Linked DNA regions of Oryctolagus cuniculus. The protein of the gene in region 1 purifies or fractionates together with the protein of each later gene. This does not show direct contact. Links are inferred from orthologs where the notes say so. Each region holds a gene or a part of one and is shown on either strand. Other genes may lie near its edges. The genes, in order: CCNF, TARDBP, CDC6, CCP110, SQSTM1, RBX1 and RRM2.

Region 1 (3,740 bases):
ATGTGCTCTGAGGTTCGCCCTGAACTGTGACTGCTTCACGGCTGTAGGGGCGGGGGTCGGGCGAACACAGCCACAACCCTGGGTTTCCTGGTCCTGAGGCTAGGTGACGTGGTGAGCACGGCGCAGCGGGAACAGGACCCTGCGCTGCCCACTGCCAGGCCGGCTGTGGGCAGTGAGCGGGTGTGGCCCAGAGAAGGAAGGCGCTGCGGGCTTAGAGCCTGGGCGCACAGGGGCGCCAGCCCGCGGCGTCTCCTGCCCCAGGCCGCAGACGAAGGCACCAGCCTCACCTGTGCTTCCCAGCAGCCTTTGGCGGCACAGTCCCTGAGTTTCCGAAAGCTGTGGAGGCACCGGCCAGGGTCAGACATCTGTCAACAGAAGTCACGGAACCGTGAAGCGCTGTCCTAGGAGCAACCCGGAACCCTCTCGGGGCGCTGCCACGTCCCCAACACCCAGACGGCTCCCCACCGCGCTGGCCTCCGGGACGGTAGCTGCCCTAGAGGCCAGGAGCGGTGGCCTAGTCCCAGGGCAGGGCGGAGGCCGTGCCCCTGGCCACCACGACGCCTCCCCACAGACCCGGCCACTCACGTCTGCTCTCCGGTCGCTTTCCCAGAGGAGGTACGAGCTGGCCAGGCAGCCCTGGAGAGCCGACTCCTCAAAGAGGGCGCGAGCCTGCTGCTGCTTCTCTTCGTCCTGGAACAACCGAGCGGCGGATTCCCAGTCCTGCACCGCGTGTGCCGCTCTGCAGCCCCCACCCACCGCCTCACCCAGAAACAGACCCCACAGCCAAGGGAAGCGCACTGAGGTCCCGGGCCACCCCAAGACCCGCCTCCCTGCCTGCTGCCAAAGGAACTGTGCCACACCGCCCAGAGGGTGGAGCCGCAGGCCCCTGGCTGCTCCAGCTCCTGGCTCTGCCCCTGGCAGCCACCATCTTCCCTAAGCCGGCTGCAGGGGGGCTCACGGATCCCAGAGGAAGCGGAGCATGGGTCCCACGGAGGCCACCAGACGGCAGCAGCACGGGGAGCTCAGCTCCTCCCCGGCCACTCGGCCACGCCCCTCCCCCACTGCTGCCCAGGAGCTGCCCAGCTCCGTGGGTCTCCTGGGTGGACTGGGCTTCCGTGTTGACCTCGGGCCTGGATGCCCTCTCGTTCTGCCGGCCACGGACGCGTCAGACACGGCAAAGGCCGGTGCAGTGGCCACTTCACTCACCTCGAACAGACTGAGCACTCTCCCCACGCAGTGCAGGATGGACGCCCTGTGAGTCTGCAAAGAGAAGAGACGGGGTGGGTGCTGGGCCCAGCAGCCACGACGCCCACGTCCCTCACGGGAGTGCCTGGGTTCAAGTCTCGGCTCTGGGTCTCATTCCAGCTTCCCGCTAACACACACACCCCGGGAGGCAACGGTGAGGGTCCCCTGCCACCCACGTGGGAGACCCGGGCTGAGCTCCTGGCTCTAGGCTTCGGCCTGGACCAGCACCAGCAGTTGTGCGCGTGTGCAGAGTACACACATGACTAGGGCCTCTCGCAGATAAACACAACTTACACTGTTCTATCAAAGGAGGAGGACAGAGAGGCCTGTGTGGACCATACCCCACATTCTATCAAAGGAGGAGGACAGAGAGGCCTCTGCGGACCACACCCAGGTCCCCCCACCTGGCACTGGGGCCAGCACAGCTGACAGCCCCCACATCCTGCACCGCCCTCTGCCTTAGGCTCCGGGCTTCCCGTGGCCCGCGGGTCCCAGGCTGCCAGCACTTACTCTCTGCAGCTGGCATTCCGCCCTGAGGCTTTCGTGAACCACGGCCTTGCAGCAGCTGCCAGACACGGACCACGGCGGGCGGATGAAGAGCCAGATGAAGGGAGCGGCGCCCACGTTCAGGCGCTCGGCCAGGCTGAAGAAGTGCGAGGCCTTCAGGCCGTTCACTTCCGCGCGGGCCTCATCGGACACGGACACTGTGGACAGAACACCCCGGCCATGTCTCCGGGGACAGGGCGCGCAAAGTCCTCCGGAGCCACCACACGTGGCAGGAACGAGGGTCGAGGAACCTCCACGCCGCCCCCTCCTCCTCCCCTGCTCCCTCAGGGGTCCAGAAGCCTCAATTCTGAAGATCAGGGAAAAGCGCCCCCTGCAGGTGGCAAGCCCATCTTCCAGGGTCTTCCCAGGGAGGACCCAGGGGCCGGGACAGTGGCGGTGGCTGTGCAATTCTGCTAAACCCGCTGGACTGCACCCTGCAAGGTGTGGGGACCGCTGCTGCTGGGAGTGGGGCAATGGGCGGGGCGCGCCCAGCCCGCCTGCTGCAGGGACCCTCAGCGAGACCCCAGAACTCTCAGAAGCAGCAGGACAGCTGGCTGCACCCTAGTCCTTAGTGTCCTGGGCTCACTTCCTGGGTGGGCAGGGACTGGTCAAGAGAAGGCTGCACAGGGCCTGAGAGGGGCGCGCCTGGCCTCCGGGGGTGAAGGAGTCCAGGCAGAGGCCGGCCTCGACCGGCTTCCCACTTCAGCTGCAGACACCTGGGTGCCATGGACGCCTCCGCCCCAGAGCACAGAGCAGACGGCTGAGGACAGGCGCCTCGGTGTTGGCGGCCAGAGGGCAGGGAGCCCGGGGAAGGCGGTGTGCCCGGGCCGCTCACCAACATGACAGCAGGTGGCCCTGGGCACAGGCTCCCGAGAGGAGAGCGAGGGACACCCCGGCCGCAGCAGGGACGCGGCTCAGCCGGGCGTGTCCCTCACACGCACCCCACGTGGCGGCACCGGGCGGCACTTACGGCCTTCGTTGTAGAGGTAGGCGATGCCCAGCTTCACGGCAGCCTCGAAGTTGCCCTTGTCGGCAGCCCTGCAACAGGAACACACGGCATCCAGCTGTAGCTAGACCTGCCGTCCCCTCCCCAACAGTCACGTATCAGCCTACGGCAGACGGACGTTGAGAACACAGGACCACATGTATGCAGACGTCTGGGACAGGCAAATCCAGACACACAGAGCTGACTAGGAGGCGGCCTGGGCTTCGGGGATGGCTGAGGAGAGGGGCCGCGAGTGTCCACGGGGCAGGGGGCTGCCCTGCAGTCAGACAGGGGCGCTGCGCAGCCGGGGGATGAACTCCGGAGTGCACGGCAACCGAGTCAGGACACCGCCCAGCTGTGGTCCCCTAGTCTGTCACAACAAGGCAGCTCCAGGGTGGCCCCTGGCCAAGTGGACAGTGGGCCCGGTGCGGACACTTGGTTGACGGGAGCCCCGGGGCGGCCCCAGCCCATGAGGACAGTGGGCCCGGTGCGGACACTTGGTTGATGGGTGCCCCAGGGCGGCCCCAGCCCGTGAGGACAGTGGGCTGGGTGCTGATACTTGGTTGACGGGAGCCCAGGTGGACACTGGGCCCAGTGCGGACACTGGCGAGGGGATGGTGAGCGGGCAGAATCAGCAGTGAGTAAAACCCATTAAGACTGAATCACATGGCTCTGACTTTAGGAAAAGACCTAAACATCTCAGCACGCAGACGACTTGTGTTGTCACGTGGGAGCGAGTCGACGGCCTCGGAGGACGCTCAGGGAGTGCAGGAGGCGGGGCCCGGGACAAGGGGCCTGACGGGGGCCGTCTACAGCTTTCGGTCACCCCGCAAGGTAATGGGAGGGCAAACAGCGGCAGGACAGCTCCTGCGTCAGATCCTGGACCAGAGCGGGGCCGGGGCAGGACAGGGAGCCGTTCTCAGGGGATACCTTTCAAAGAGTTGCAGGTTCTTAGGGGAAGGCC
Region 2 (3,740 bases), on another chromosome or scaffold:
ACTAGCCTTTCATGCCTTGGCACCACCATCAATCCCACACAAGGTTTCAAAAGTTCAAACAGCCTTCTGGTTCCATATCACAGCCTTGCGTTCACAGCGTTGATACGACTCCATGAAATAAAGAGTACTGGATAAAAATGGGACACCCACCGTCAGAGACGCAGCCCGCGCGGCGTGACGACCAATTCTTGAAAGAGAAAGCTGTAGACAGAAGTATTCCTATGGCAGAATGTTTACAGCACTACGTTCAGCGAAGTGCTTCTTCCATAAACGTTTGAAATGAGATGAACTGCAGAGATTAAATGAAGGCTTCATATCGTACTTTTGTATGAGGGGAGACAAGTGTTAAAAACAAAACCGAAAGAACCAAACACTGCGTGACACCATCATCTCCCGAGAGGAAGACTTTCCTAAGGAAAAAATCCGTATGGTGGGGTTCAAATTAAAACAAGGAGAAAAGAATGTAGCTCTAAATCAATGGTTTCCACTTTGAACATGCAAAGAATTCACTTGACAAGTCCAGGGATAAGAGATTACAGGAGAAACCTTTCGATATCGACTGTAGTGTGTTGGTTTACCAATCAGGCAAACAGCAGTTCAACTTTCAACCACTCAATATTTCAACCCTTTATGTAACAAAACTTATAAAATTCCTTTAGCTCTTCCTTTTTTTCTAAAGAAAAATGTCAAAAATACTGCTGAATATACTCCACACCGAACAAACCAATTTTGAAAATTCTTAGTACATATGTATTTTACAATATACTTACCATGAGTTTAGAAAAAATTGAATTCCCACCATTCTAAGCAACCAACCACAGCCCACGGTCTACATTCCCCAGCCAGAAGACTTCGAATCCATGCTGGAGCCAAAGCCACCGTTAAAACCACTGCCTGACCCTGCGTTGGATGCCGATCCCCAACCAATCGCTGCACCCGAGTTAGAGCCACTGTAGGAGTTATTGCCAGAGCCAAAGGCCTGGTTGGGCTCCCTCTGCATGTTGCCCTGACTCTGGTTATTGCCCGAAGGCCCCGACTGGCTCTGCTGACTGGCTAACATGCCCATCATCCCCCAGCTGCTCTGCAGTGCCGCCTGCGCCGCAGCCATCATGGCTGGATTAATGCTGAAAGCACCGAAGTTCATCCCCCCACCCATATTACTACCTTGATTGTTCCCCAAGCCGGCTCCACCCCCTCTACTGTTACCAAAGCCACCCTGATTCCCAAAGCCACCTGGATTACCACCAAATCTTCCACTTCTTTCTAACTGTCTATTGCTATTGTGCTTAGGTTCGGCATTGGATATATGGACGCTTATTCCTTTAATGATCAAGTCTTCTCCACAAAGAGACTGGGCAACCTGTAAGAAATAAGGGTGCAGACAAAGGAGATTAAGCCACGGAACACACACCTAATAAGCAGAAACAAAATCTAGATTGCACGCAGAATTTATCCACGCTGGAGAGAAATACGACGACGCTAGCTGTTCTGCAGCACAGCCTTTATTTAGCTGTAGTCACGGAGCGGGGGCATCTCACTCTGTTTCAAGACCATGTAATACTCTCCAACAGCACATACTGAAAGCTACCCACTGCTCGTCTCACACGTGTCTAAGCCCACACATCCCGCTGCCGTACAAGCCCAGAAAGCGTAGCTAAGGATGGCTGTCCACTGCGACGCATCACCAAGCAAAATACCTGATCATCTGCAAACGTGACGAAGGCGAAGGCTCGGAAGGGCTTGGGAATGAACACGTCCACCACCTCCCCGTACTGGCAGAAGAACTGCTGCAGCTCGTCAGCAGTCATGTCCTCCGTGCAGCGCCCCACAAACACCTTCCTGCTTCTCAAGGGCTCGTCGGGGCTTTGCTGGCCAAGGGAAAGGGGAGAGGTCAGACAGAGCTGGGGGGCGCGAGGAGAGCAGCAGAGTCTGTCTGGTTACAGCAGAGGGATCCTGCGAGGGAGCCACCAGCCCTTTCCCTCCAGCAAGACTTCAAGACCAGACTTCAGAGTTAGGAAAGCGACGGGACCTGGGAAAAGCCAGCGACAGGAATGGCCCTGACGGGACGACGCTCTGAACAAGGACTGCTCTGTCAGGCCTACATAACAAGGTGAACGTATGACACGCTGTACGTCTTCACGTTTCAACAGACACCCGTGCAGGAAACATTAACTCATGAATAACGCGAGCAAAGTTTCAGTTTGGAAGAGTTACAAGGCAAAAGCTGTAACACATCCTGCCACTGCCTTTCCCAAGCATATGCGGGCACTTAACAAAGTCAATGGAAAATGGAATTAAAATATCTTGGAGGGGCTGGCACTGTGGCGTGGCAGGTGCTGGCATCCCATAGGGGCACTGATTTGAGTCCCAGCTGCACCACTTCCGATCCAGCGTCCTTGGGCCCCTGTACCCACACGGGAGACCTGGAAGAAGCTCCCGGCTCCCCGGATTGGCACAGCTCCAACTGCTGTGGCCAAGTGGAGAGTGAATCAGCAGATGGAAGACCTCTCTCTCTGCCTCTCCTCCTCTCTCTGTATAATTCTGACTTGCAAGTAAATAAGTAAATCTTAAAAAAAAAATTCTGGAGCAAAAAATTTAAAAAAATTCAGTTGTTTTTCATAAATACGTACCTTTCATCAATTTTGTTAAAGACCCCCCTTGTACTTAATGTTTTATTTTACAGCACTTTCTAAGAAAGCCTGTCAGTAAAAATCCCCAACCCACAGAGGGAGAGCCAAGTACCTTAGAATTAGGAAGTTTGCAGTCGCACCATCGTCCATCTATCATGTGCCGCTGGGACATTACTTTCACCTGCGTCTCATACTCCGTGAAACGAACAAAGCCAAACCCTTTGGAATGGCCAGTTTTAATATCTTTCTTGACCTAGAAGAGACAATTTACTCCTAAAATATCCGCATGCACTCAAACTCGCAGTCCTAAATCAAAAGTTCCTGAAAACTGAACGGCTTCCATGAACGCAGTGGCTGAATTAGGATGTCGATGAAGCTAAGTACTGAGGAAAATAAAAGGCAGCAAGAGGGATCCAGATCATGTTAATGGACAGAGTAAAACTCAAGTGACACAACAGAATTTTAACAATGTTTTACAATAAGTGCCAGCTTTAAAAAAATTTTTTAATATATCTGAAGGGTAGAGCAAGAGAAAGAGAGAAAGAGAGAAAGAGAGAAAGAGAGAAAGAGAGAGAGAGAGAGAGAGAGACTCTATCTACTGGTTCACTCCCCAGATGGCCACAGCAGCTGGGGATGAGCCAGGCCCTCCTTCCAGGTCTCTCCCATGACCGCAGGGACCTAGGTGTTTGGGCCACCACCTGCCGCCTTCCCAGGCCTACTAAGATTGGAAGTGGAGCAGCCAGGACTGGAAACCACACTCCAACAGGGGATGCTGACATTCCAAGCAGCGGCTTAGCCCACTGTTCTGCTGTGCCACAACGCCAGTCGTCAGTGTTTACAAACTTAATCACATGGGAAAAGCAGAAAAATTTCCCGTTCCTTTAAACACTTAAAGGCCCCTGCACACACGTGGGAGACCCAGAAGTAGCTCCTGGCTTTGGATCAGCGCAGTTCCAGCCGCTACGGCCAATTGGAGAGTGAGCCAGCGGATGGAAGACCTCTCTCTCTCTCTCTCTCTCTCTCTCTCTCTGTGTGTGTGTGTGTGTGTGTGTAATTCTTTCAAGTAAAATAAATAAATCTTTTAAGGAAAAACTCAATGTCACCTACTCC
Region 3 (3,740 bases), on another chromosome or scaffold:
CCTATAGGAGTGCCCTTCAAGTCCCAGATACTCTGTTTCTAGTCCAGCTTCCTGCTAATGCAGCTGGGAAGGCAGCAGAAGATGGGCCCCTGCCAACCATGTAGAAGACCAGGATGGAGTTCCTGGCTACTGGCTTCGGCCTAGCGTAGAGCTGGCTGTTGTGGCCATTTGGGAAGTAAACTAGTGGATGGAAAATTGATATCCATACCCACACTCCCCACTTTCCAAATAATGTATACTTTTTGAAAACATCACAATGCTAAAAAGATATATAGGGATGTCGTAAGTTCCTGCCATAAAGTATTATATTAATTCTTTTCTTCTGGTATGTGAGATTGACTTTTAATGGCTTCAGAAAGCTATAGGGAGACTGACTTCAACTAAGTATAAGAAGAAATTTTCTGATAGGACCAACTAGGCTTCTTAACATAGTAGACTCATAGCCTTAAAGATAATCAGAGGAAAACTGCATCAATGATCACGTGTTGGGATTGTTTTAGAGGACACTCAGCTATTAGATAGGAAGTAAGAATAGACCTTAACATTACTTTCAATTTGTAAAATCTGTTACTTGATCTGTGATCTCTGGTTTCTCTATCAGTCCTCTGCAGCATTCCGTTTGTCGTCATGAAATAGAAGCAGATTACTGTGGGGCAACTGCAAATGGTCTCAGGAAGTAACTTTGGGCAAAGGTTGTTTGAGAGCAAATCCCTCCTCTGTCTTGCAATTTATGCATCTCCAAACAATGAGGCCATAGTCCTGTGTAGCTCATTGGCAGTTTCCCAACCTCTGGCTTTAGAGATGGTGCTATCTGCTAGGATATCCAATGACATTTTCTCAAGTGTTGCTGTGCTGCGGATCAGCTTGGGCAAGTGAACTAAACCTCAAAAGTCACTTGGGGAGGCCATCTGGAGGACTGATGTGGGATTTTTACTGTCCACATTTATCCACACATTTGCTTCAAAATACTCAGTATTTTGGAAGAAAGAATTTCCAGCTATTTTTCTTCCTTAATTACCAGGCACAGTCATCATCTTTGCTCCAAGGGTTCCCTTTTTACCTCTGAGGCATTAGAAACTTTCATGGTAGAATACAGTGGTTCTCTGTCTGATCCTTCCTCTTTCATGAGGTGGATTTTGTCTCCTTGACAAAATTACATTCCACAGGACAAAATAGCTCACTCTTCTACCCAGAGAAAGGATAACCCTACTTACCAAGTCATCCCACATTATTTTGGCATCTTGCTAAGGAGAGCATTGTCTCTCGTTGGTTGGCATCTAGTTAGAACCTCAGCTTTGCCACCACATGACTGCACTTGGATTTCCTTTAGCTAAAATTTAGTATCACCTGTCTCAACACACAAGCACATAATATTTTAAAAGTCAAATTAAGCTTAATTCATTTCCTTTATAGGTAAATCATCCTCTGAGTCTCCGGTTCCCAAGAGAGTTGGTCTTACTCACATATCCCAAGTCATTTCAGAAGTTGATGGTAATAGGATGACTTTGAGCCGAGAAGGAGCACAAGACTCCTTCCCTCTTCAGCAGAAGATTTTGGTGTGCTCTCTGCTGCTCCTGACCAGGCAGCTGAAAATCAAAGAGGTCACTCTGGGAAAGGTAAGTTGGGAATCTGCCACTGGAGCTGACATTGAGATGAGAATCTTCTCTGCAGAGCAGATGTTTTCCCAAAGTCCTATCATGCTCCAGCTGATAGGAATTAAAAATCGATTTTAATAGTAAGAATAAATACTGGTATTTAAAGATTTATTTTTATTTGAAAGAGTTACAGAGGGAGGTAGAGACAAAAGTCTTCCATCTTTGGTTTACTCCCCAAATGGCTGTAATGGCCGGAGCTAAGCTGATCAAAAGTCCGGAGCCAGGAGCCTCCTCCAGGTCTCCCATGTGGTGCAGGGGCCCAAGGACTTGGGCCATCTTCTACTGCTTCTCTAGGCCATAGCAGAGAGCTGGATTGGAAGAGGAACAGCCAGAACTAGAACTGGTGCCATATGATATGGTGCTTGAAGGCTGAAGGCTGAAGGTTGGGGCTTTATCCTACTGCTCCACAGCGCTGGCTGCACAGCTGGCCTTTAATAGCCATTAATCTGGCTGGCGCTGTGGCTCACTAGGCTAATCCTCCGCCTTGCGGCGCCGGCACCCCAGGTTCTAGTCCCAGTTGGGGCACCAGATTCTGTCCCGGTTGCCCCTCTTCCAGTCCAGCTCTCTGCTGTGGCCCGGGAATGCAGTGGAGGATGGCCCAAGTGCTTGGGCCCTGCACCCACATGGGAGACCAGGAGGAAGCACCTGGCTCCTGGCTTCAGATTGGCGCAACGTGCTGGCCATAGCGGCCATTTCGGGGATGAACCAATGGAAAGGAAGACCTTTCTCTCTGTCTCTCTCACTGTCTAACTCTGCCTGTCAATAAAAATTTTTTTTAAAAAAAGTAGATTATAATAAATTTTAAAAAAGAGATTTTTTTTTAAGCAACCTATGTTCTCCTGTGTTTCCTTCCAGTTGTATGAAGCTTACAGTAACGTCTGTCGCAAACAGCAGGTGGCAGCTGTGGATCAGTCAGAGTGTCTGTCACTTTCAGGGCTCTTGGAGGCCAGAGGCATTTTAGGATTAAAGAAAAATAAGGAAACCCGTTTCACAAAGGTACAACCAACTGCTTCTTTGTAATAATGCTTTCACTTGTCTTGTTCTAGAGAGCTTATCCTTTGCTAAAATAAGGATTTTAAAATGAGCACAATTAGATCGTTTGCTTTTTTGTTTGATAGGATTTTAGGTGTGTAAGGGACAAATGAGATAGTGCTTGTCTCAGTTGCCTCTTGTGAGAAGTTTTTTGTGGTAGAAGTTTGTGTAACAACTTTGGTTCTGTGAGTTCTCCATCATGAATCATGCTTTTCTTTTTCCAGGTGTCTTTGAAGATTGAAGAGAAGGAAATAGAGCATGCTCTGAAAGACAAAGCTTTAATGGGAAATATCTTAGCTACTGGATTGCCTTAAATTGTTCACTTACTGCACATCGGGCAGTATTCAGCTGGCATTTAGCGAAGGAGTCTTCGTTTTAGTACTTTATACACTCAGGTCTGAAAACAAATATGACCTTTTATACTTGAAACCAATGAATTTTAACCTATAGACTCATGAATATTAGCACAGAATAATATGTTTGGATCTTATTTTCACCCATAAAAATGACCACGTAGACCCTTTTCAATTACATCCAGTACCCTCTACCACTTGTGTGCCTCTAACCACTTGTATTTGCAGGTATGCAGATTTGTATGGTGGAATGCATATACACTTACCTATTACTTTCTTCAAACATTGATATATTATGTTAAGAACTTTGAAGTTAGGGTAAGAAGAATGGAAAGGAATGATCCTGAAAGCAAGACCACATGGTGATTTGGAGGACACTTTGACAAAGAATTTTTTGGGGGGGTATACTGTGTTCATGTTGCGGATTCTACCACATTGTGACATTTTAAAGACTCATTGTGTTTCTTGGGTACTCCGAAGCTTGAGGGACTGGTAAGGAGAATGTAACTCTGCAAATTGTGAATATATTTATTTTATTTTATTTATTTTCAAGTTGTAGTCTTAGTCTTTTTAAGCAATCACATTTCGAGAGAGCTCAAGCTTCCAGATGGCAATATGAAAATTCCTTCCCAAACTGTCCCACAGTCTTAGTTACTCTCAGATGAAACCTTTGTTTCAAGATGCCTTAGTCTGGGGTTGG
Region 4 (4,484 bases), about 11 Mb from region 1:
AAAGCCGGTCCCTACATAACCATGTTTTAGTCTGTTTTAACCTGCACTATGTTCTCTTAACAACCAAAATATGCAGCAGCTAAGCTGCAAGAGCAATTCAGATAAACTCATTTAGGCTAAAATATCTCAAAAGTATGTTTGAAAACCCAATCCACATCTGCAGCGTTCCAGGGAACAGAAATAGACCCGGCATGCAAATCATGTGCTATACTTTCTATAAATACACGAGCACAAAATTCAATTTTAAAGATCTGGGAAGTTTAAGGAAATAAAATACTTCCATGGCAACAGCTTTATTTTTCTTTCAACATCACAGATGCTTCATTGTTTCAGAAGGTTATTTACATTCTTTAAATAGCAAATGTATATACTACAAATTGCAGATGGATGAGCAGTCTTCAAAAAATCTGTGGGAAATGCATAGAATGAAAAACCTACGCATGGGTTGCAGAAGCTTTCTGCACCAGGGGCAGGCATTTGGCCCAGCTGTTAATCAAGACACTTGCGTCCCCAACGGGAGCACCTGGGCTCCATACCTGGCCCCAGCTCCAGGCTCCAGCTTCCTGCTAACGCAAACTGTGGGAGGCAGGGGCTACGGCTGGGCTCGAGTAATTGCAATCCTGCCACCCATGTGGGAGACCTGGACTGAGTTCCCACTCCTGGCTTTGGCCAGGCCCAGTCCCGGCTGCCACAAGCATTTGGGGAGTGAACTAACAGACAGAGAATATCTTGATCTGTGTGTGTGTGTGTGTGTCTGCCTCTGAAATAAGTAAGATATGCTTTTAAAGTTTTTTTCTAACAAAATAACCTTGTCTTTTAGCTCCACCTTCCCATAAACCTGTGACATATCTTCACAAGCAATACGCTGGTATTATTATTATTGTAGCATAACATACAGCATGCAACAATGCTTCAACTATTCAAGTATGAGTGCTGATATGGAGGTCACAGAAACTGCAAGCTGATCCCGGGCCACAGCGGGATCCCTCCTGCCTCTGGTCTCAGCTCAGGTGCCACCTCCTCACAAGGACCAGCCCTGAGCGCCCTTCTAAATTTACCCTGCCTCAGCCACTACCCCGTTACCCTGCTGTCTTCCAGTCTTCGGACTTAGCACTCTCTGAAATTCTCTTGTCTTTCTCTGGTTTTGTCTGTCTGCCTCCGCTAAAACGTAAGCCATGTGAGCGCCGGTACCTTCGCAGCCTTGTCCGCTGCATCCCCACTGCACAGAACAACGCGGGCACGCAGCTGGCACTCAGTAAAGAACGGTGAATACATGAATCAGCTGATTCCCTCCAACAGTAAGGTAAGCCAGGGAAAGGAAGAGGGTGGGCGACACAGCAAAAGAGCTAGCAAGGAAGGATGGAGTCCAGAGAACGAAGTTTCCCTGCTGACCCGGCTCTCTGTGAGCTGCAAAGGGAGCCACTTACAAAGTGAGCCGTCTGCATCCCGCGTGGCGTGGGGCACAGGCACTGTTTCTCTACCACAATCCCTCTGCTGCCAGGTTTTACTTCCACAGAGCCTTGGCTACGAGGCCAATCCAACCACAAGGCACTGCCGGTCCACAGCCAGGAATAACGTCGGCTGTGTGCCTCCTCTTCTTTGCTTATGAGCCAGAGTTCTGCTGAGCCTTATTCAAATGAGCCTCTTGACAAACCCAAGGAACTCAGGGTCCTATCTGCTCCTTACCAGCCAAAACTGTCACCGCAGAGAGTGACAAAAATAACACGGCCAAGATCCGGCCTTGTGGGCAGAAGCGAGCTGACTGGGTACCCATCAGGACCCCCGCCAGCATAAAATTCCTGTAGCAGCAGTCAGCGGCATTTCTTCTTTTTAATCTGGTGGGGGGGGGGGGGGAGGGCATAACAAATGTAGAACGCGCCTCACCCGGGCAGCACACACACGCAGAGCGAGACGCCAGGAGGAAGATGTGACATTCGGGCACACCCTGGCTGGGCGTTCTTGGTGAGCCAGCGACTGTCCTCCAGCTCATCTTCCTCCTCTGTAAAGTGCGGGTCATGGGGACACCTGTCTCACAGGTAGTTCGTGAGAATCCAAGGAGCGAATGCACTTAGCATACACAGGGCACACAGAAATCGTCCACGCATTGTGAAGAAGAGAATGCCAGTGATGATTTGTAGCAAGAGACTAGGAACTCCAAGGAGAGAGGGGGAGAGGGCTGGCAGTGACAGTGCTGGGTTCCTGGTAGGATGCAAATGTGACTGGAAAACACGGGACTGCTTGTTCATCGCGCCGTGCGCAGACCCCTTCCCACCAGGGCAATCCCTAGCCGGCTGCCACGTGCACAAACAGGGGTAGGGGGCTGGGGTGATCACCGGATAAGAAGCAAAGGCTGGGAACCAACCAGCAGCATCAGGGGCGATCCAGAGGATTCGCCATGCTTCCACCCCGGAATCGCAGAGGCGAGGCAAACGGCGCTCCCAGGTCGCCGGTTTCGAAAGGGCCGGGCACAGCCCGGGACGGAGACGGGGGAAAACACCCCCAGCTTCGACCCCCGAACGGGGCTCTCCGGCCTCGGGCGCCCTTCTGCCCTGCACGCCGCACCCTGCAGCCGGCTCCTCGGACATGGAGCCCGCTGCGTGCGGCCGGCATCCGAGCATCGCATCCCAGCACCACCGGCCTCGGGCCCCCGCCTCCCCACGCCCGGCGCCCTTCCAGGGGCTCGAGGCCCAGGAGCCGGCACACAGCCCGCCCTCGGCACCTCAGGGCGCCAATTCCGCCTCTCCCGCTCGCCTCTCCCCGGCCACCCGCCGAGGGTCCTGCCCCCTCCTCACGCACAAACCTGATGCCCCACGGCCCCCTCAGACTTTCTCCCTTCGCCACGAGCCTTGTCAGGCAGGAAGCAAATGGCTCAACTTGTACTGACAGAGCACAGTTCGGTCCGCCGCCGCCTTCGCCTCCTCCTCCCCGCCATATTACGGGTCTCAGAAGCGACAACGCGGGCTCCTGGCAACCGCCGCCGCTGCCGCCACCTAGACTCCACCTCTCAGGGCGGGCACTTCCGGTAGTGGCTTCGCGGGCAGTTGGAACGGTTGGGCTCCAGAAAACTACAGTCCCCGAGATGCACTGCGCACCCCTGACCAAGGGCGTGTGCTTGCGGCGAGCGGAATGCATCCTGGGAAATGTAGTCTTCCCTGCTACACCGCCCTTCTAGAATTACAATTTTTCTATAACCAGAACTCTGGTTGGGGTCTGAAGCCCCTAAAGTGTTCCATAAAGCTGCCATTTTTCTTCTTATTTTTATAGCTATTACCTCTCCCTGTGTGGTCGCTGGAAAACATATCATTCACAAATATTTTAAAATATATGTATTTTATTTGAAAGGCAGAAACAGAGACAGATCTCCTCAAATGCCCGCAACACCCTGGCTGAAGCCAGGATCCCAGAACTCCTTGGGGGTCTCCCGCAGGGTGGCAGGGACAAGTACTTGAGTCCACCTGTCCATTCTCAAGGGTGCCCATTAGCAGGAAGCTGGGACAGAAGCAGATCGGGGACTCCAACCCAGGCACTCTGACATGGGGTGGAAGCATCCCAAGCAGTGTCTTTGGGGCTGCACCAAATGCCAGCCCCTCAGCAATGTTTTTGCTCTGTACATAAAAATTTACTAAATCATAGAAGCCAATTGGAAGCCTTAAGATAATCCATACGCTTTTGAATTCCAATGAGAAGGTTTGTCCAAGAGAAACAGGTAACAGATTCAAGATGGAAGAAAATTCTCTGAATGTTTTACCAAAATTGTCTATTGAAAAGTCACAGAAGACGGCGTGGTGACATAGCAGGTGGAGCCACTGCCTGCAATGCTACCATCCCATATGAGTGCCAGTTCTCGTCCCAGATGCCCCACTTCTGATCTAGAGCCATGATGATGCACCTGGGAAAAACAGCCAGAGGATGGCCCAAGTGCTTGGGCCCCCGTACCCCTATGGGAGACCTGGATGAAGCTCCTGGCTCTTGGCTTTGGCCCAACCCAGCCCATTATAGCAGACATCTGGGGAGTAAGCAAGTGGATAGAAGATCTCTCTCGCTCACTCACTTTCTCTCTCTCTGTCTCTCCCTGTAACTTGCCTTTCAAATAAATAAGTAAATCTTAAAGAAAAAGGAAAAATGTGTCACCAGCCATTCAAAATATGATTTAGCAGCCTCTCTCCATTCCCTGAGTAGGCTTCCCCTTGGGTCTCTGTTCCTCTTTCTGGTGCTTGTCTTTGACTCTATAAAAGGGAAAGGTTAGAACTGCTATCACAGGGTGGTTGCAAAGCACAACTCAGATAACTCTCCCAGCGCCTGGTACATTAACCTTTAGTAGTAGGAAAAATAAGATTAGGAGGGTGGCAGTGGAAAAGTCACAAGCCACTGGCTTCATGTTAGCCCTGACCCTGCCATTACCCACCCCATTCTTTGCCTCTCCTTGGTTTCCTTACCACTGGGATCGGCATGCTGACATAGGGTAAGGGCGCTGCCTGCAACAC
Region 5 (4,351 bases), on another chromosome or scaffold:
GCTCCTATCAAGGGCCGGGACTGGGCTGGGCAGAAGCCAGGAACTCAATCCAGGGCTCCCATGTAGGAGGTGAGGACCCAATTACTTGAACTTTCACCTACCCCCTGCCAGCATCTGTCCTGGCAGGAAGCTGGAGTCGGGAGCTGGGATCCAACACGGGCCCCAGGTATCTTAATGGGTGAACTAACCACTAGGCCTGATGCCCACCAAGGCCACTTCTTTAGGGGTGGGGCTGGACAGATCGGGGATAAGAAGGGAGCCTGCCCATTCACTGGACAGGAAGTGTGCCCGCCTGGGCCTGAACCTGGGCCACGGTCACACCTAAAAGGCAAAGTTTCCGCGTACACTACACGGACAATAACAGTGCCCTGTCCCTCAGAGGCCCAGCCCGCCAAAGGCTCTGGGCTGTCTGCAATGTTTAAGTGGAGATGAGCCCAGAGGCCTGCTGCTTTCTCCAACGAAGAAAAAAGGCTGAGTCCTTCTATGTTGGCTTCCGTGATTTTAAAGCATTGCCACACAGACCAGACCAGACCGCACCGTGCACAGGCTGCAGGCGGGGCCTGGACTTGGGCACCAGAGGGCAACATCTACCCTCAGAGCAAGAGTGGCACTTTTGCGAAACAACCCAAAAGTCCATCAACTAATGACACAAACACGATATGGCATATCCACAAAAGAAACGAATACAGATGCAGCCTACACCTCTGATGAACCTGAACGCATTTCCCTAAGGAAAGAAGCCAGACACAAAGCTAAACTGTACAACCCCCTCTCCACCACTGTCCAGAAGAGGACGCCCAGGAGAGAAAGCAGCTCAGCGTTGCAGGAGCTGAGGGAGACAGGTAAAAGGCATGGGGTTCCAGTGGAGAGGAAGGGGTTCTCATGCTGACTGCCAGCGCCTGGCCCCGCTCTCCAGCCCCAAGTCTGCTCAGAAGTTCCAACTGGTGAATGTGTTAAAGACCACTGCATCGGGGCAGGCATTTCTGCAGCGGCTAACTGGCAGCCCGGAACACTGGCAGCCCATATGAAAGTGCCTGGTTGGAGTCCAGGCCACTCCACTTCTGATCCCGTTTCCTGCTAATGTGCACTGGAGGAGGCAGCAAAGGATGGTTCAAGTGCCTGGGTTGCTGCTACCCTCCTGGGAGACACTGATGGAGTTCAGGCTCCTGGCCTGGCTGGGGCTGGCAGCTGTAGCCATTGGGGAGTGAACCAGCAGATGGTAGGTTGGGGTGTGTGTGTATGTGTCTCTCTGCCCTTTCAAAATGAAATAAAATTTTAAACCCTTGAATTATATACTTTAAATGAGTAAATTTTATGGTATGTGAATTACAGCTCAATAAAATTGTCACCAGGAAATTAAAAAAAAAAAAAATGCTGGGCAAGCTACTGAGGGCGGTCCCAGCCCTGCTCCCTCCCAGGGGCGGGCCTTGGCCGAGGACCTCCCTCCCACACTGCTGTCCCGGGACCCCACCCCCAGCAGCAGCTACCGGTCTGAGCAGCGCAGCCAGAAAGAGCGGTGGCTCCGGGCTTGTCCCCACTCTGAGTTTGTGGAGAACGTTTCGACATCGGCCGTCTCCCCACTGCCTTGTCCCTGGGCGACCTGCGGCCTACCCCGGGCTCAAGGGCCCTGCGTCCCCCAGCCGCCCACGCCCACCACCCACTTTCAGGGCTCGCTGAACGCAAACCTGGCGCCGGCGGGCCCAGCCCCGGCAGCAGCAAGATGTCAGTGTAACCCGAGTGCCCGCCTGACCACCTTCTCAGCCCAGGGCCAGAGAGGACGCCCCGGCGCGTCCTTGGCGAGATCTGCAACATTATGGCGGGGAACAGGAAGCATCTAACGACCCAAAGTCCCCAGCCCGCGGGGCCTGATCGCCTCGGCCCCTGAGGGACAGGGCCTGGGTCACTGGGCTGGCACCCGAGGTGCAAGTGGGGTACGCGCAGGTCACCGCTCACCCAGAGCGCGACCAGCACAGCATCCCTTCCGACGCAGCCGGCACCGACTAGGAAAGGGCAGCCCCGGACCCCGGCCACCCCCCGGCCCGCTCACCGCGGTAGTGCGCCTGGAAGCCGCCGGGCCGCAGCGCCGGGAACAGAGCGGCCACCCGGGCCAACAGCCGCTCGCAGGGCCCGGGGCCGGCCGCTGCTTCGGCCTCGGCCTCCGGCTCCGGGCTGAAGCAGAAGCTAAAGCGGCGGATCTCGCGCGCCGCCTCCTCTTTGCCCAGGAGGTAGGCCTTCACGGTGAGCGACGCCATCGCAGCCGGAGAACGACGAGCAGCTGCGCAACCGAGGGAGCACCGGAGGAGGCGGCGGCGGTGGCGCCAGTGGCGCGTGGCTTTTGTAGGGCACGCGGAAGCCCCGCCCGACGTGGACTCCTGGGGGCGGAGCCTGCACTCTTCGGGTGCCGCCCCCCACCGCCGGGGCCGCCTCTCGCGAGTCTCCCTGCCAGGGCCCCGTGCCTGCTTGCCCCTCTCCCCGCTGCCCTTTGACATGGTCTACCGCTCTCAGTCTGTCCCCTCATTGCCCCCAGGGCACCGGAGACCCCCAGAGCAGGCCTCAGCATCTGTACCTCCTGAAAGGAATGGGCTGGGGTCCTGTCCGAGGCCCCTCTCCGGCTTGGGCCTGGCTGTGACTCAGCAGAGCAGGTCCCTGGTCATCAGCAGGGGTTGCCCAGCACAGGACAGAGGAGGACACACAGAGCCCTCTATCCCAGGAGGCATCTAGGCTGCCCAGTGGGCACCACCAGCCGGAACCAGCTGGCTGCTAGGGTACCCTGCTGCCCTGCCATGCGTGACCCCCAGAAGGCAGCCCTACACCAACCACAGCCTCCTGCATGAGCGTCCCTAGCTGTCCAGGGCCGGCTGGCCGGCTCGTCCACTAGCGACGGCAGTCAGTCACCAAGTGCTGACTGCAGCTCAAAAAGACACATGGACGCCCCCAGCCCTGTGAGCCCAGCAGGCTGAGCCTGACGCCCCAGGCCCTTCCTCACCATCACCAGGAATGGTTGATCAGGGGTCCTTGTTTTAGCACAAGAACTTCAGCCATGGGACAGAATAGCAGCAAGCGTGCTGGCCAAGTCTGATGAAAAGAATGCACCTGACAGAGTAGGCGGGCATCTCCATCAAGAGCTGAACCCACCTGCTTTCAGACTGGGGTTTCTATGGATACGGGTATAGCCCTCTTTCTCCTCTCCCCTCCCCTCCCCTTCTGGGACACGTCTGGGGGAAGGGCTTCCAGAGTGTGGAATTCCTGAAATTCCTCCCAGAACTTCATCAGCAGTATTATTGGACCTAATAGCCACACACACACACACACACCCCCCCAATGCAGGGCAGGGATTTCTCTAAGCTGCCCCTGGGAAAAGGCTGGGACCCACTCAACAAGGTTATAGAAGGAGACCAAGGCTCTTTTTTTAAAAATGTGTTTATTTATTTTACAGGCAGAGTTTTGGATAAAGAGAGAGGTCTTCCCTCTGCTGGTTCACTCCCCAAATGGCTGCAACAGCCAGAGTTGAACTACTTCGAAGCCAGGAGTTCCTTCCAGGTCTCCCACGTGGGTGCAGGGTCCCAAGGACTTGGGCCATCCTCCACTGCTTTCCCAGGTCATAGCAGAGAGCTGGATCAGAAGAGGAGCAGTCGGGACACAACCGGTGCCCAAATGGGATGCGGCGCTGCAGGTGAAGGCTCAGCTGCTGCGCCACAGCACTGGCCCCACCTGAAACTAAGACTTTTGAGATGTAAATACTGCTCTGCTTCCCAGGCTTGCTTCTGTGGTTCTTCCCTCACCCAGCCACACAAATTCCCATTTCTTCCCTCTCACAGATGCAGGCTGCCTAACAGACCTGTCAGGGCAGGGGGCCAATGCAGCAGGTGCCTGCCTGTAGGGCCTCAAGAGTGTTGGCCACAAGGGCGGCCAAGGGGATGGGACCAGTCACCTTTCAGCTGGGAATCCAGAAACTCTGCTTCCTGGGACCAAAGTGACCTGTCTGCAAGGCCTGGGGGAAGGCGCTGGGAAGGGAGGTGTGTCACCCCCCCCCCCAGACCTCCCAGGCAGGTCCTGTGACTAAGAGTCAGCCCTGTTGGGTCAAACCCCCCCCCTTTCAGGTCAAGTTTGTGGGAGCAGCTTGGGAAGCCCAGCGATGAGGGTGGGCTGGTTGGATGGGGGTTAGGCAGATGCACAGGTGGCCAGGCCACAGGAGTAACGGGATCCTGCCCAGCGAAGCCAGCCAGGCTCCCGTGCCAGGAGCAGCCTTGGAGAGGCTGGTCCATGATCCCTGCCGCTGTGAGCCTTGGGAAAGTGTCCCTGGGCCTGCTGGCCCCTCTGCCCCAACACAGGGTCGGGAGTCCCGCCAGTG
Region 6 (4,330 bases), on another chromosome or scaffold:
ACCAGCATCCCTTATGGACACTGGTTCATGACTTGGCTGCTCCACACAACCTTCCATTTATTTTAGTTCATCTCCAGGTAACTTACAATGCCTAATACAATGTAAATGCTATGTAAACAATTGCGAAGCTGTATGGGTTAGTGAATAATGACAAGGAAAAAAAGGATATATTTGTCCAGTACAGACATTAAAAAACGCATATGTATTTCTGATCCGCAGTTGTCTGACCCCACAGATAGGGCGGAGTGTAAATCTCGCCCAGCAAAAATTAGCTCATGTAGGATATTTTAGGTCAGAGTTTACTTTCTTCCATTCACTATGTCTGCCTTGGAGTTCTGAGTATGAGACGGGAGATACAGAAGAGTACACAGCATCTCTGTGTCCAAAATTCACTCTAAAAGCGTCCTTGCCATCCTTAAGATTGTGTGGAGTGGACTTATTCCAAGAGCTGGGTATGCATGTAGGACTTCAGAAAAAACTACTTTCCTTCCAACACCCCAGTGGACTAAACACAAAAGGCCTCACACATGCTGTGCTTTGTGTCTCCTGGTGAGGAAGGAAACTGGCCACTTCAGGATGGCCACAATCCCTGTAGCCTCTCAACCTCCTCCCACCCTCCTCCAGTTACTTACAGAGATCCATAATGTGGTTCCTGCAGATGGCACAGTTATCAACCACAATATCCCAGGCCCAGAGGGCTACTGCATTCCACTGCAAAGAGAAAAAGGGGGAACAATGCGCTCTCCTTGTAATGTCACGCACACACGCGCTTCCTGCTGCAGCTGCAGTTACCCACCTGGGCCACAGGGACCACCAGACAAAAGAGTTTTTGGATGTTACATTATTCTCATTTATTATATTAGGGGACAACTGGAAGCTATATGTAGGCTGGCCCATTCTCCAAAGGTTTGGTATAGGAATACAGAAATGAATGAGTCACCTTTTTTATTTCTTTTCCCTACAGTTTAAAATAATTTAGTCAGTCATATCAATGTAGGCCAAGTTAGGAATAGTTTTTCAGTGCCTGCTTTAGGATTAATAAGCACAAACTTGAATTCCTGTGAAGGTTTTTCTGGCAGCTGCAGGGCTCAAAATCTGCATAAACATCAGGAGCGGGAGGTGAACGCTAGGGACAGGATGAACTAAGACGATGACTGGATAATAACGTGGGTAATCGTGGGATAAGCTGGATAACTGGTGACCCAGGGTGGGTACCCAGAACAAGGTCATCGCTTGAACCTCACGCCGTCACTTCCAAACGGCAGAATTTACTAGAATCTTTCGTTCTTATCAAATAAGCTGATGTTCTCAACTTTCGTATGTTGCAACTCTAACATGTAGTAAATTCCAGTAAGGATTTATCTTAAAAAAATTATGAGAAACAACTTCCAAACTCCCCTTTCACCCACTGTCTGGCGCCGCCACCCAAGCCTTCATCTCCTTCCAGGCCAGCTCTCAGGTCTAGGAACTTCGCCAGCACTCTCCACACCTCAGCTCCAACTTGGAGAAGCCCCGAGTCCGCAACATGGCTGCTGGCAGCAGGCGGGCAGCGGCGGCCACAATGAGACGCCGAAACGCACTCGGAGGGCCCGGCGTCCGCGCCTGGACGATGGTCCAGGAAGCGCAGCTCCCCTAGGTCGGAACCTTCATTGTCCAGATTTATTTCACCTTAGGTGGGAATCGACACTTTTCTCCAGAGCTGCCGGCTCGGGGAAAGCAGTGAGGGGGCAGACCTCACGCCAAAAAGAAAAAGAAAAAGCCGCGTCTACATGTGTTCCTGCCCCCGTCTCCGCCAGGCCGCTCGGAGCCAGCACGCGATCCTCCGCGAACGGCACGAGACTGGGACATTTTCTTTTCAACAAATTCCACCATGATTTTTTTTTTAAAAATGTCTTTTGGAGGGAGATTCTGGACGTGACACCACAAGGCTGGGGCGGCTGTGTGACAAGCCGACACACGACCCCCCAAGAGCCAAGCTGCACACTCCGGGCGGGGGCCGGGCCCGAGAGGGGCTAACGGAGGGACGAGTCGGGGACCCTCCACGCTTCAGACAGGGGCGGGGCGGGGAGGTCACCAGCCGGGCTCCTCAGAGGCCTCCAGTGCGGTAAGAGCTCAGGTTCTCGGCTTTCGCCACACCACCCCATCCTCCACCCGCCGCAGCGCTCCGACTCCCCTTCCACCCACCCCGCCCGGTCCTTCCCCCCACCCCTCAGCCGCTTCAGTGACAGCTCCGGCGCTTGGCTCCCGCAGCCCAGTCGCAACCCCGCGCATCTCAATAAGCACCTCCGTGATTGGCCCCTCAGCCTCAAAGCGAACTCAACATTGCGCTCGACAGTGGGCCGCCGTCACGCCGATCAACGCTAAGGCCCGCCCCCCGGCTTCCTTTCGTGGTACCCGGTCCTAGGAACGCCCTGAATTGAAGCCCTTTCCTCCGCGCCTCGGTCATCCAAGGGCCTGCCAGCCAGATCCGCGCCTCTCTAGCTTCCCCGAGGAAGGCGCTGGCGAGACCCAACCTTTTTCACTTCAAAGCGCTTCTTGCCCGCGCCGCTGTTGGTGCCGCTCGGGGTATCCACATCCATCGCTGCCGCCATTTTGGAAACACACGATCTGTAGTCCGGCCAATGCGCCTGCGCAGTAGCGCGCGCCTCGCTTCCCACCCACCCCCTGACGCCCGGGCGCCTCCTCCCGCACCCCTCCCCCGACTGGCGCGCGAGGGGCAGATGGAGGCGGAGCCCATGGCCACGCCTCTTAAAGGCGCTGGCGCAGGCCTCCCCCCTCACGTCGGCCGGGGAGGAGGCGGCGGCCGGAGGGGCCGGGGCGGGGCCGGGCGGGGCCGAGGCGCCTGCAGCGAGCCGAGTGGAAACGTTCGACAGGGCTCGCTCTCGTCGCCCTTCCCCGGGAAGCCCCCGGGCCGCACTGCCTTCGGCCGGGGCGGCGGCGGCTGCTTCCTCCGCCTCGGCCGCCAACCTGGCCGAGGCCGCGGCACCGTTGCTGGTCCGGGCGCGGGGAAGAGGCGGGGGTGGCGCCCCGCGGTGCGGGACTCCACACTGACCTTCTGCGGACCGGCCTGGTCCCGCTGCGGAGCCCAGGCCCCAGCGCCAGTCACCCTGCGAGGCCTGCGGCCGGGGTCTGTCGGGCCCACCAGGCACCGGCTGGCTTCCCCGATGCCCGTTCGGGGAATGCCCAGGGCTTCGACGGGCAAGAGGAGGAGACCCCCGAACGTCCTCCCCAGTGGCGAGTCCGGTCGGCCTGGAGGGCCCGCGTCTTTGTGAGGCAGGCGGCTGCCACCGCTGGCCTCGCCCCGTCTTCTGGTCTACCTCCCTCCAAGCCTGCACCAGGCCTCGCTTCCACGGCTGTAACCGCCCGGGGTGGGGGTCTCACTCCCGCCTCCCGTCTATTTGAAATCTCCCCTCTCGCCTCTCGATCTGGCGCCGTGGCCTCCAACGCGAAGCCGGAGGGACTTGGAATGTTTTCCTTCTTAATCCCAAACAGGAACGACAGACCCCCCGTGAGACTGTGGGAGACCCGAGGGGGTCGCAGGAACCCCACGAAGTTCCTTAGCCCAAGCTTTAAGGAGTCTGGGGTAAAGCTGCCGTTAATTAATGTGTGCCTACGGACCCTTCCTGGAGTTCCTGAAGCCCATGGCAGAGCTTCCGAGGCCCTGGTTATCCATCACCCAACAAATTAACTGGGGGGCATTGTGGCCGCGCGCTTAGCACCCCCCCCCACCTGTGACGCCGCATGCCACGTGGGTGCTGGGTTGAGTCCCGCCTGCTCCACTTCCCATCCAGCTCCCTGCTAGTGCGCCTTGGAAAGCAGCAGAAGGTGGCCCGAGTGTTTGGGTTCCTGGAATTCCTGGCTCCTCAGGCGTTGCAGCCGTCGGAGGAGTGAACCAGCCCATGGAAGAGTTGACTCCGACCTTCCAATAAGTAAAAATCGTAACAACAATAAACTGTATTGCGCCACCCTTGTGGCACAGCAGGTTAAGCCGCCACCTGCCACGCGAGGATCCCACGTGGGTGCAGGTTGGAGTCCCGGCTGCTCCACTTCCGATCCAGCTCTGGGCTAGTGGCCCTGCCACCCACATGGGTGACCCAGATGCAGTTCCAGGCTCCTAGCTTGGACTGCCCCAGCCCTGGGTGTTGTGGCCATCTGGGGAGTGAACCAGGAGATGGAATATCTCTCCCTGTCTCTGTAACACTACCTTTAAAATCAATCGATCGAGCCGGCGCCGTGGCTCAATAGGCTAATCCTCCACCTTGCGGCGCCGGCACACCGGGTTCTAGTCCCGGTTGGGGCACCGGATTCTGTCCCGGTTGCCCCTCTTCCA
Region 7 (2,715 bases), on another chromosome or scaffold:
AAATGTTGAGGTTTTTTTTTTTTTCTTTTTTTTTTTTTTTTAAGATTTATTTGAGGCCGGCGCTGCGGCTCACTAGGCTAATCCTCCGCCTAGCGGCGCCGGCACCCCGGATTCTAGTCCTGGTCGGGGCGCCGGATTCTGTCCCGGTTGCCCCTCTTCCAGGCCAGCTCTCTGCTGTGGCCCGGGAGTGCAGTGGAGGATGGCCCAGGTGCTTGGGCCCTGCACCCCATGGGAGACCAGGAGAAGCACCTGGCTCCTGGCTCCTGCCATTGGATCAGCGCGGTGCGCCGGCCGCAGCGCGCCAGCCGCGGCGGCCATTGGAGGGTGAACCAACGGCAAAGGAAGACCTTTCTGTCTCTCTCTCTCACTGTCCACTCTGCCTGTCAAAAAAAAAAAAAAAAAAAAGATTTATTTGAAAGGCAAGATTACAGAGAGACCACAAGAGATCTTCAGCTGCTGGTTCATTCCCCAAATATCTGCAATGGCTAGGACTGGGCCAGACCCAAGCCAGGAGCTTCTCCCAGGTCTCCCAACATGGGTGCCGGGGCCCAAACACTTGGGTGGTCTGCTGCTGCTTCCCCAGGCACATTAGCTGGGAGCTGGATTGGAAGTGGAGCAGCCAAGACTCAAGCCTATGCCCATATGGGTGCTGGTGTCACAGGCTAAGGCTTTGCCTGCTCTGCCACAACACTGGCCCCAAATATTGAGTTTTTTTTTTACAGGCAGAGTGGACACTGAGAGACAGAAAGGTCTTCCTTTTTGCCGTTGGTTCACCCTCCAATGGCTGCCGCGGCCGGCGCGCTGTGCTGATTCGAAGGCAGGAGCCAGGTGCTTCTGGTCTCCCATGGGGTGCAGGGCCCAAGGAGTTTTGGGCCATCCTCCACTGCACTCCCAGGCCATAGCAGAGAGCTGGCCTGGAAGGGGGGCAACCGGGACAGAATCCGGTGCCCCAACCGGGACTAGAACCCGGTGTGTCGGCGCCGCTAGGTGGAGGATTAGCCTATTGAGCCGCGGCACTGGCTTGTTTTTTTGTTTTTAAGATTTATTTATTTATTGGAGCGGCAGAGAGATCTTCCATCCGCTGGTTCACTCCCCAATTGGCCGCAACAGCCGGAGCTGTGCTGATCTGAAGCCAGGAGCTTCTTCCAGGTTTCCCACACAGTGCAGGGGCCCAGCCAGGACTTGGGCCATCTTCTACTGCTTTCCCAGGCCAGAGCAGAGAGCTGGATCTGAAGAGGAGCAGCCGGGACTAGAACCGGCGCCCATATGGGACGCCTTCGCTTCATGCCAGGGCATTAATCCGCTGTGCCACAGTGCCGACCCTCAAATATTGAGATTTTTAGAAGTAATCATTCAGGGGCCAATGCTGTGGCACAGCCGGTTAAGCTGTGGCCTGCAGTGCCGGGATCCCATATAGGTGTTGGTTCAAGCCCTGACTGCTCCACCTCCAGTCCAGCTCTGCTGTGGCCTGGGAAAGCAGCGAAGGATGGCCCAGGTACTTGGGTCCCTGCACCCTCGTGGGAGACCCAGAAGAAGCTCCTGGCTCCAGGCTTTGGCCTGGCACAGTCCTGGCCATTGCAGCCATTTGGGGAGTGAACTGGTGGATGGGCGATCTCAACCTCTACCATCTCTCCTCTATAACTCTGCCTGTCAACTCTTTTTAAAAGTAATATTCAAGGGAAAAGCTAAATAGTGAAAAGAAAACAGTTCACTCTGAGTTCTTTTGGGGAGAGAGCTGACAGATAGTTGAACTTGGCTTTCAATCCGGTGCTGTTAGAAGTTTTGGGAATTGGAGGTCTTTGACCTAAATACTGATGCTGTCTACGCCTCCTAGGGAATTTCTCTTTAATGCCATTGAGACGATGCCTTGTGTCAAGAAGAAGGCGGATTGGGCCTTGCGTTGGATTGGGGACAAAGAGGCGACCTACGGTAAGCTTGCCCGTGGCCACCTTAGACCAGAGCGCGTGTTCCCGGTAATGACACTGCGGGTTTCCCTGGGAATGCCGTGACTCACTGGAAACTCTCGGACAGGAGAACGCGTCGTAGCCTTTGCTGCGGTGGAAGGCATCTTCTTCTCTGGTTCTTTTGCGTCGATTTTCTGGCTCAAGAAACGAGGACTGATGCCCGGGCTTACGTTCTCCAATGAACTTATTAGCAGGGATGAGGTGAGTCCAGTCTCAGGCTGCACCCTGAACACCTGCGGTTCTGAGAGGCACACAGGTCTCATGGCTCCATATCCACGTTTGTTTATTTCCTGTTTATTAAGATTTACTTATTTGAAGGGCAGAGTTAGAGAGGTCTTCCATCTGCTGATTTAACTTCCCGGTGTCTGCTGGGGCCGGGCCAGGTCAAAACCAGGACTCAGAACTCTGGTCTCCCGTGTGAGTGCAGGGGCCCCAGAACTTAGGCACCTGCTGCTGCCTTCCCAGGCGCACTAGCAGGAACTGGAGCAGAAGCGGAGCAGCCAGGACAAGCTGGTGCCCATATGGGATGCCGGTGTTGCAGCCAGCGGGTTAACCCCGTGCACGGCAGTGCCGGCCCATGTCCACATACATATTCAGCAAAAAATGAAGCCCTTTAACTTGCTGACATGTGTTCCCTATATTTATACATGCGTGTTGCTCTTCAGGCTGGACTGTAAAACTCCGTTCCGCTCTGGTAGGGGTCTTCTGGCTTCAGAGTGGTCTTGAGTTTAATTTCTTCCCCAGGGTTTGC

The links.
Region 2: the proteins of CCNF (region 1) and TARDBP purify together in Homo sapiens (affinity purification with western blotting; 3 studies listed by BioGRID, with this or other methods). This does not show direct contact. The link is inferred for Oryctolagus cuniculus from reciprocal best matches to the Homo sapiens genes CCNF and TARDBP.
Region 3: the proteins of CCNF (region 1) and CDC6 purify together in Homo sapiens (affinity purification with western blotting; 4 studies listed by BioGRID and IntAct, with this or other methods). This does not show direct contact. The link is inferred for Oryctolagus cuniculus from reciprocal best matches to the Homo sapiens genes CCNF and CDC6.
Region 4: the proteins of CCNF (region 1) and CCP110 purify together in Homo sapiens (affinity purification with western blotting; 7 studies listed by BioGRID and IntAct, with this or other methods). This does not show direct contact. The link is inferred for Oryctolagus cuniculus from reciprocal best matches to the Homo sapiens genes CCNF and CCP110.
Region 5: the proteins of CCNF (region 1) and SQSTM1 purify together in Homo sapiens (affinity purification with western blotting; 3 studies listed by BioGRID). This does not show direct contact. The link is inferred for Oryctolagus cuniculus from reciprocal best matches to the Homo sapiens genes CCNF and SQSTM1.
Region 6: the proteins of CCNF (region 1) and RBX1 purify together in Homo sapiens (affinity purification with western blotting, with the first as the bait; 4 studies listed by BioGRID). This does not show direct contact. The link is inferred for Oryctolagus cuniculus from reciprocal best matches to the Homo sapiens genes CCNF and RBX1.
Region 7: the proteins of CCNF (region 1) and RRM2 purify together in Homo sapiens (affinity purification with western blotting; 5 studies listed by BioGRID and IntAct, with this or other methods). This does not show direct contact. The link is inferred for Oryctolagus cuniculus from reciprocal best matches to the Homo sapiens genes CCNF and RRM2.

What each region holds. Positions count from the first base shown.
Region 1 is NC_091450.1:32,853,060-32,856,799, forward strand, and holds part of CCNF (cyclin-F), read right to left. Parts: coding exon 3,707-3,740; intron 2,830-3,706; coding exon 2,762-2,829; intron 1,950-2,761; coding exon 1,756-1,949; intron 1,261-1,755; coding exon 1,207-1,260; intron 691-1,206; coding exon 586-690; intron 366-585; coding exon 288-365; intron 1-287. UniProt on the Homo sapiens protein: Substrate recognition component of a SCF (SKP1-CUL1-F-box protein) E3 ubiquitin-protein ligase complex which mediates the ubiquitination and subsequent proteasomal degradation of target proteins.
Region 2 is NC_091438.1:157,254,774-157,258,513, forward strand, and holds part of TARDBP (TAR DNA-binding protein 43), read right to left. Parts: intron 2,884-3,740; coding exon 2,743-2,883; intron 1,869-2,742; coding exon 1,698-1,868; intron 1,361-1,697; coding exon 830-1,360; 3' UTR 1-829. UniProt on the Homo sapiens protein: RNA-binding protein that is involved in various steps of RNA biogenesis and processing.
Region 3 is NC_091448.1:22,169,745-22,173,484, reverse strand, and holds the end of CDC6 (cell division control protein 6 homolog), read left to right. Parts: intron 1-1,413; coding exon 1,414-1,616; intron 1,617-2,510; coding exon 2,511-2,651; intron 2,652-2,911; coding exon 2,912-3,001; 3' UTR 3,002-3,592; downstream 3,593-3,740. UniProt on the Homo sapiens protein: Involved in the initiation of DNA replication. Also participates in checkpoint controls that ensure DNA replication is completed before mitosis is initiated.
Region 4 is NC_091450.1:21,520,433-21,524,916, reverse strand, and holds the start of CCP110 (centriolar coiled-coil protein of 110 kDa), read right to left. Parts: upstream 3,022-4,484; 5' UTR 2,801-3,021; intron 1-2,800.
Region 5 is NC_091437.1:67,652,909-67,657,259, forward strand, and holds the start of SQSTM1 (sequestosome-1), read right to left. Parts: upstream 2,851-4,351; 5' UTR 2,490-2,850; coding exon 2,048-2,489; intron 1-2,047. UniProt on the Homo sapiens protein: Molecular adapter required for selective macroautophagy (aggrephagy) by acting as a bridge between polyubiquitinated proteins and autophagosomes.
Region 6 is NC_091442.1:117,032,838-117,037,167, reverse strand, and holds the start of RBX1 (E3 ubiquitin-protein ligase RBX1), read right to left. Parts: upstream 2,831-4,330; 5' UTR 2,592-2,830; coding exon 2,514-2,591; intron 712-2,513; coding exon 633-711; intron 1-632. UniProt on the Homo sapiens protein: E3 ubiquitin ligase component of multiple cullin-RING-based E3 ubiquitin-protein ligase (CRLs) complexes which mediate the ubiquitination and subsequent proteasomal degradation of target proteins, including proteins involved in cell cycle progression, signal transduction, transcription and transcription-coupled nucleotide excision repair.
Region 7 is NC_091433.1:192,177,319-192,180,033, reverse strand, and holds part of RRM2 (ribonucleoside-diphosphate reductase subunit M2), read left to right. Parts: intron 1-1,834; coding exon 1,835-1,929; intron 1,930-2,031; coding exon 2,032-2,165; intron 2,166-2,708; coding exon 2,709-2,715. UniProt on the Homo sapiens protein: Provides the precursors necessary for DNA synthesis. Catalyzes the biosynthesis of deoxyribonucleotides from the corresponding ribonucleotides. Inhibits Wnt signaling.